Linked DNA regions of Oryctolagus cuniculus. The protein of the gene in region 1 interacts with the protein of each later gene in a pairwise test. Links are inferred from orthologs where the notes say so. Each region holds a gene or a part of one and is shown on either strand. Other genes may lie near its edges.

The links.
Region 2: the proteins of USP47 (region 1) and AP4M1 interact in binary tests that used the Homo sapiens proteins (3 or more experiments, as listed by UniProt). The two-hybrid records come from large-scale screens. The link is inferred for Oryctolagus cuniculus from reciprocal best matches to the Homo sapiens genes USP47 and AP4M1.

The regions. Positions count from the first base shown.
Region 1 is NC_091432.1:54,271,346-54,276,188, forward strand, and holds part of USP47 (ubiquitin carboxyl-terminal hydrolase 47), read right to left. Parts: intron 2,595-4,843; coding exon 2,419-2,594; intron 2,062-2,418; coding exon 1,981-2,061; intron 1,267-1,980; coding exon 1,151-1,266; intron 799-1,150; coding exon 680-798; intron 1-679. UniProt on the Homo sapiens protein: Ubiquitin-specific protease that specifically deubiquitinates monoubiquitinated DNA polymerase beta (POLB), stabilizing POLB thereby playing a role in base-excision repair (BER). Acts as a regulator of cell growth and genome integrity.
Region 2 is NC_091450.1:42,372,173-42,375,613, forward strand, and holds the end of AP4M1 (AP-4 complex subunit mu-1), read left to right. Parts: intron 1-119; coding exon 120-226; intron 227-300; coding exon 301-395; intron 396-627; coding exon 628-672; intron 673-922; coding exon 923-973; intron 974-1,056; coding exon 1,057-1,168; intron 1,169-1,287; coding exon 1,288-1,512; 3' UTR 1,513-1,822; coding exon of another isoform or gene 1,823-2,203; 3' UTR 2,204-2,415; downstream 2,416-3,441. Other genes in the region: TAF6 (transcription initiation factor TFIID subunit 6), read right to left, coding at 1,823-2,203, 2,636-2,833, 3,001-3,174. UniProt on the Homo sapiens protein: Component of the adaptor protein complex 4 (AP-4). Adaptor protein complexes are vesicle coat components involved both in vesicle formation and cargo selection. They control the vesicular transport of proteins in different trafficking pathways.

The DNA.
Region 1 (4,843 bases):
TCAGACACAGACAAGCCCACAGGGAAAACAGTGAAAATGAAAGCAAAGACTGGGTTGATGCATCTACAAGCCAAGGAACGCCAGACAACCCACCAGAAGCTAGGAGCGAGCAGGGTGCGGACTCTCCCTTACAGACCCTGGAAGAAACTAACCCTTCCTACCAACCCTTGATCGAAGACGTCCAGACTCCAGATATGTGACAATCAAGGTCTGATTAAGCCACTACTTACGATCCTTTGTAATGGCAGTTTATGAAACTAATGTATAGTCACTGTTCTCAAGTGTTTGATAAATTATCAGTATCACATTCTCGATGTAAAGTAAGTTATAAGGAATGTAATTTCCCCTTAAGAGGGAGTTAAGAGTCTCAAAATTAGAGAAAATAAGAGATACTTAAAAGGCAAATGGTACCCAAAGAAAAACAGGAGAAAGCTAAAAACACTGGATGCTTTTTTAACAATAACTTAAGTATTACAGTGGAAGACAATAAAACTCCTGGGAATGGGATGTAGGAGGAATCACATCAATCCACAAAACAATGTCTTTATGTTTCATGAAACACAAAAACACCAAACTGTATATTAGGCTTCTGGTAACTCACTACTTAAATAAAACCATGGATTCTGTTAGTTCTAGAGTATTGCCAATTGATATTTCCCCACAATAATGTTGATAATACCATCAAGAACTTCAAGGAAAACCTCCCAGTTGCTGGAAATATTAATATCTTCTTCATAAATATGATAATCCAAAAACACGGTGCCAGGATTCTTCCATGTTTTTTTCCGTAGACGAAACCTATAAACATGATGACATTTTAAAGTACTATAATCTGAAATTCTCACTTTAAAAACCAACATTAATCTGACACCAAGGAAAAATGAACTATGTTCAAATACAAAGTCAAATGGTTACTCATTAAAAATGTGTCAAGAAATGCTCCCAGTACTTCAAATTTAGTATCCTCTAGAGGAAATGGAAACAAAATTATAATATCCAGTCAAGCCTATTAACTTAATTTTCAGTACCAGCATTGTGACGAGTACCCAAGTTTGTAATTCTTCCAGTTTGAGAAAACCACGCCAGTCCCTATTGACTGAACATACAATCGTTTCTCCCAATCACAGATGACACTGTAATTTGACTTTACCTGTCAATACTGAGCTCTAAACCACACTGCTCCCTGAGTTGAGGAACTAACTCCTCTTTTGATTGCCGCACAGTCATTCCTTTAGCAAACACAGCATCTAGCAGAAACTTGCACGGCTAGGAATATAAACATAAACAATTAGACTATGACACAATAAGGATTATCAAGACATTTTACTTGACACAGACTCCGAAACTCGGGCCCTGCATTATTCTTTTGGATATTCGACACAGGTGCTATACAGCACAGGAACTAAAATATTTTACTGATTAATCTCTAAGAGCTTGTTTAGATCCTTAATCTACCATTTGCAAGTTATGTGCTCTTGACCAAGATACTTCTCTGTTCCTTAGTTTTTTCATCTATAGAATATTTATATTGCAGAGTTAACCAATGAGCATTAAATGAGTTAGTATTACAAGCACTTAGAGCACACAATAAACAATATATAGATATGTTAAAAATACTAAAATGATTCGGGACCTAAGAAGTATCTGTAGATTCTTCGGGTTAACCTATAGCGTTAGGACTCATCCCAGAAAGCAAACACAAATTCCTTTTAAAATCAGAAACATTCTGCTTCACTCCAGCACTGCAGCAATACTTTAAAGCAAGAGGATGACAATGGCCTGTGGACCAAATTCACTGCTGTGTTTTTGTAAATAAAGTTTTATTGGGACACAGTCATTTCCAATTGGCGATGGCAGAACATAGTAGCCGCAAGAGACAATAATCTGTAAAACTACAATAGTAAAAAGAAACATGTAATAGTTTCTGTATCATGCTTTCAGTAATGCGAAAAAGTGGCTTTACATTGCTGTATTACTTACCTCTTGTTCATTGACTAAAAGCTGGTATACTTTAACTCTGTATTCTCCTTTTTTAAGTGCTCTCCCCAGTCTAATTGTAATCTATAAATTAAAAACATGATTTTAGAAATAGCATCTTAGGAGACTAAACAACCTATTTTCACCCCACAGTTTAGTTTTGTTTTCCAAAATTCTCTAGATTATGGGCTGTTTGAGAACAGGTATATTTACCTCTCAGTTCCCAGCACCTAGAATAGTAACTAACACACAGTTAACATCTCAGAAATGTTTGTTAGATGAAGAAAACCACCACCAAAATACCCCCCAAAAATCACTAAATATCAAAGACAAATGACCCTTTTAGGGTATCTACTTCACCTTACTTGGAAGTAGTACAAGATGTTCTCAAATCTATCATTTAAAATAGATTCTAATTATTCAAGGATTATTTTAATCAACCTTATTGTCATCTGAAAATGATGAAAGTGTCTCATTCAGTCGGACGCTCTCAAACTCTTGATTGCTGGCATATACTCGAAAGACCTTGAAGTGAGAGGACAAAACTCCAACAAAAGGCTCTAAGTGTTGTTTGAAAGCTGCCAGAGTAATTCTTTTATCAACATGCACCATCAACCCTGAGCACAAAAAAACCAAAACAAAACAGGAACAAAAATGTAAAAGAAAACCTCTTTTGAGTATAAATAAAACAGGTCATATGCTTCTTATTATAAGATAATCAGGAAAAAGTACCCCCTTTAGCTAATGTATACACTGAATGGTCAAAATACATGGGCACTGAGTATATGAGAGGTATAATCTGATACCTTTAAACATTCTGAGACACGTCGGTGCTTACTTACTTAGGTCACAGCTCTACCTGTGACAGTGGAGGCTCTGGCTGGGATCCAACCCTGCCTCCTGTGTTTACTTATTGGTAGGACACAGAGAAAGACACCAGCCTCCATACCTCTGTTTCTCTATTAGAAAATTGGAGATAATAACAGTATTTATCTCGCACTGTGAATTCAATGAAGCAAAAACATTTATCATGCTTTCAGCATGGTGCCAGATATATAGTAATTGCCTCTGGATTTGAGTTCTGGGATTTTGACTAGAAACATGTTTAAAGGCTAGTATAGTAAGATGCTTTATCACATGGTTGGACTGTTAAGAGAAAATATCTAAATGGATCAGAAACAACCAGGTCTAAACTTAAGCGCTCTTTGCACTGTAATTGGACTATCTGAGATAGGCTATACTCTTTTCCCCAGTACTTAGTATTTCAATTTATTTTGGTCCCTCATTTTATATGCCACTCATGACGATACTTCTGGAATGCTTCTACTTATCCTGGTCCATCTCCTAGCAAAAAGCAGAAACTTAATTGTTTCTCTCTGTTGTCACCAGGCAGTGTGGAATACAAGAGCAGCCATGCTGCCTCAGGCCTATGGTCCACCTGCAGCCCGAAGGCTCCCTCTGTGGTAGATCAGGTTTCTCTATGATCTCTTTCACAGCTGAAGGATGAAACCCCTCAAACACCTCTCCTAGGCTCACACTCCCAGGTCATCTCAATTCTTGAGTGATAAATTTTTCAACTAATGTTCACTGCTTTCCTAGTTATAAAGACTCATTATAGAAAATGTGACAAGTACAAATTAGAAGAAAAGATAAAGAAAGTAATGTACTTTGTTTACTACATACATTCAAGGCAGCAATTCTGGGGTGGGCATCTGGTATGGTGGTTAGGGCACCACTCAGGATGCACACATCCCATATAAGAGTGCACAGGTTCGAGTCTTGGCTCTGTTCCTGATTCTAGCTTCCTGCTAATGTGTGCTCTTAGGGGGCAGTGGTACTGACTCAAGTACTTGAGTTTCTGCCACCCACATGGAGACCTGAATTGAGTTCCAATTTCTGGTTTTGGCCTGGACCAGCCCCGGTTGTTGTGGGCATTTGAGCGAATTAGTGGATGCAGATATATCCCTGTTTCTCTGCCTTTCAAATAAATAAAATAAATTTAAATGTCAATTTTTTAAAACAAATATTTATTTCATTTACTTCAAAGGCCAAAACACACAGAGAGATGTCCCACATTCTGGTTTCCTTGAAATGCCCACAATAACTAGGGCTGTTCCAAGCTGAAGGCAGGAGCCAAGAACTCAGTCTGGATCTCTGATATGGATAGTGGGACCACAAATACTTGCATCACTTCCTGCTGTCTCTCAGAGTATGTAACGGCAGGAAGTCGGAATGGAGAGCAGAGCTGGGACTGAAATCCCGGCACACTGATACCGATGCAGGCATCCCAAGTGGCAGGCAGTTTAACCACTGTGCTAAAAGCATACCCCAAGATGTCAATTTTTAGGCTTTAAGAGGTACCCTTAAATGTTAATAATCAGTGTTTGGCAAAGAAGCCTCTATTTATGTTGTACAGCAAGGTACTTCTTGAGAAAAGGGTTTAATGGAGAAATTTCCTGACTAGAAACCAGAAGCCCATGACGGGGTATCAGTGTTGTCATTTCATGTGGTAACCGGCCGTAGGTAGGTCTGCCAGTCTTCCCAAGCCTCACTTTCCCCACCTGATCACAATAGCAGTCTCAGGGATTGTTATGACAAGAGCAGGAAATTCAAAAACATTACTAAAATAGAAGCCATTCCTGCCATTTTGGTTCCTCTCTTAATCTCTAGCAGTGGCATGTCACAGGGAGACACAAATACTGGTGGGCACGGTGCGGGATGGTGATTAGGATCCAGGGATTCCGGGGGTTGATGGCCTGTCCTGAATGAACCTCCTGACTTTTCTTCATATATTAGATTTGTGACTGACTTTGCCTTCTTAACTTCTCTGTACTTCAACTACCTCTACTGTAACACACATTCAATA
Region 2 (3,441 bases), on another chromosome or scaffold:
AGAGCAAGGGTCTTCGTCTCCCAAGGGCCGGTTCCAGCCGGATTTCCTAGAGAGGAGTTAGACGGAGCCTTCCCTCTCCCAAAACGTGGGTCAGGAGAGGCCTTTTTCCACCTTTCCAGGTTACGGGCCAGGAATTCGCGTGGATGAAGTCTCATTTCACAGCTCGGTACAGCTGGACGAGTTTGAATCTCATCGGATCCTCCGCCTGCAGCCTCCTCAGGGCGAGGTCAGGATTGGGGGGCGGGGGCTCCCCTGGAAGACGGGAAGGAGGAACCTGACCTCCTTCCTCTCTGACCTCAGCTGACGGTGATGCGGTACCAACTCTCCGATGACCTCCCCTCCCCACTTCCCTTCCGGCTCTTTCCCTCTGTGCAGTGGGACCGAGGCTCAGGCCGGTGAGACCATTTCCTGTGTTCTAACTATGGAACCTGAGCCCAGACATTTAAGCTGCCAAAGCTTACCACAGAAGGGAGGTGGAGGTCGTGTTAGAGGGTGCAGATTGGGAAAAAGCTTGCCTAGTGGAGTTGGGCTTTGGCCCTTCCCCTTGTGCGTGGAGGCCCTGGGTGGGCACTGGTGAGATACCGGTAGGACACGACCTAACAGATGGTGTTTCACCCTCTCATCCAGGCTCCAGGTTTACCTGAAGTTGCGATGTGACCTGCCCCCAAAGAGGTAAGGGAGGGCGCTGGCCTTTCCTGGTCCAGCCAGCTAGGACAGCATACAGGGCCAAGGTCGAGAATGCGATGCTGCTTCCTCACGTGCAGCCACCAGCCTCAGATTCCAGTTTCGCTGGCGGCATTAACATTTGGGAAGGAAGTGGAGGTGGCACCTGTGCTGAACTCCCACAGTGACGCTCAAGGGGGACCAGGACCAGGGACGACCATGGCTTCTGGGGCCGACTCTGCTCCTTTCTCGTTTGCAGCCAAGCTCTCAACGTCAGGCTGCACCTCCCCCTGCCGCGAGGGGTGGTCAGGTGCGTGTGAGCTCCCCCGGGGAATAGCATGGCCCAGGGCTGCAGTGCAGCTGGGCCCAGCACTGTCCCTTTCCCCACCCCAGCCTGTCTCAGGAGCTGAGCAGCCCAGAACAGAAGGCAGAGCTGGGGGAGGGAGCCCTTCACTGGGACCTGCCTCGAGTGCAAGGAGGCTCTCAACTGTCAGGCCTCTTCCAGGTACCCACGGCTGCTCTAGCGCCCTCCCCATTGCCCTTCACCCCAGCCCCTGCTCAGCCCTCCCAAAGCAGCTGCAGCCTCATCTGGCCTGACAGCCTCCCTGCTCTCTCTCCTCACAGATGGATGTCCCCAGCCTCCCGGGGCCTCCCGGCCATGGGACTCCCACTTCGGCTTCTCCTCTGGGGCTGGGCCCTGCGAGCCTCTCCTTCGAACTCCCCCGGCACACGTGCTCTGGCCTCCAGGTCCGCTTCCTCAGACTGTCCTGCAGGCCGTGTGGTAACACCAACCCCCACAAGTGGGTGCGACACCTGAGCCACAGCAGCGCCTATGTCATTCGGATCTGAAGCTGGGTCTCGAAACAAGGACAGAGGCAGCAGGCGCTTAAGTGGGAAAAGGACAATTATCTTCTTTTCTGGCCTCCTGGTCTGGGGCTCTGGATGTGAGCAGGAAGTCTGGAGAAACCAGGAGGGCTCGAGAGACCGGCCCCCTTCCATGGGAGCCGATGCAGGGAGAACTTGGGGAAATCAGTGCTTACAAATCAAACTTTTATTCTGGGAAATGGCTGTGTAATCTAAAAAGAAAGTCACGTGGGGGAAGCAGCCTGCTCCATCCTTCCACTTGGCACACGTGCAGGTCAGCAGATGGGGGGCACTGTCATGGAGCAGGCTGAGGGGAGCCTGAGCCGGAAGGCTGGGAGCCATTAGCCTTTGGAGTTCCTGGGGCTGGAGGAGGGCTGTCCCCCGCTTCCTGTTTCCCCCCACAGAGGGCACTGCCCCCAAGGGGGGATGGGGAAGATGATGGGGGAGGGACGGGAGAAGGGTGGGAGGCAGGGCCCCCCTTGCCCTCCCCTGTGGGGGGAAGTGAGACCACAATGTACTTCTGGACACTGCCCGGACCAGAGGGGGCAGTGCTGGGGGGTGCGGTGGTGGCGGTGGAGACCAGCTTGACAATGGGCTGCACGCTGGGGACCGTGGTGGTGACAGGAGAGGTAGTGGTGGAGCCTGAGCCGGGGGCTGAGGTGCTGAGGGACAGGACCTGGGGAGACAGGACAGCAGTGTCCACCGACTGCCCCATGCTCTTGGCTCTCCTCAGGGGCCTGCAGGTGCTCTCCCAGGCACGGTTCATGTCTCCAGACCCCTACCAGGCGGGGGGAACAACCAGCCCATGTGGCAGATAAAGCCTGTGAGAGCCACAGGCAGGACTCGAAACCCAATAAATCTATACCAGGGGAATTCTAAGTGGATGAATTGTGTATGGCCTGTGAAGGATGTTTTTTTATAAATACCCAAATGGCCCTTCCCCAACCCTACCCTAGACCACAGGCAGCGGGAGGCCTTGCTCTGGCCCAGACCCCTGGCAGTGACCCTTCCATCTCCTGACCTTGGGCCTGGAATGGACTGGGCTCTGCTCTGGGACCTCCCCAGGTGCTCTCAGGTGGCATGGCCCTTGGAGAGTTCCTCAGCATACCTGTTGGGTGGATGAGGCGCTGGAGGACGAGGACATTACAATAAACTTGGTTGGAGGAGGGGAAGGCTGGGGTGGGGCGGCAGCTCGTGCAGACACCAATGTCTGGACGGGCAGTGTGATGGAGCCCGGCACCTTCAGCAAGCCAGGGGTCCGAGGGCCAGGCTGAGGGGCCTGTGAGAGGGTCAGTGTGGGCCGGGGCTGCAGGAAGAACAGACCAGAAGGAAATGTCAACATCTAAGAAAAAAGGCGGTGCTGAAGGGAGAGACTCAGGCTCCGCTTACTGCTCACAAGAAATGGGGTGTTACATCATTCACTGACTCGGGGCCTGCAGGCGAGGGCCCACGTCCCACCCATGGGTCGCTGACCTGTGTGATGGTCAGCGTAGTCCTGTTGACCTGCTGAGCCTGCAGAGCAGCCTGGGCCCGGGCCTTGACCACGTGGGAGCAGAGGAGGGGCCCGAGGGACCCAAATTCTGCCCGATAGGCATCCTGATTGTCAGGCGGTGGGCGCAGCTTTGCCAGAACAGGGGCACAGTGTTTCTGCAGAGAGAAGGCTGGCACTCTTAGAAAGGGTGACCGTGGGACTCGGCCAAGCTGCTGCTAGGAATGCTGTGGGCTTTCCTCATAAGGAAGTACAGGCACCAGCTGGTGGGAATGAAGCAGCTTGCTAAGTAACATCTGCGAGGCACCTGATCCAGGGGGTGTACGCCTGCCCCGCACGGCAGGGGGCCCTGGTGATGGAGAGCATGGGGGGCAGGGGGCTGGGCAAGTTTGCAGGCTGAGTGGATGCCCCGATTTCCTTCATGA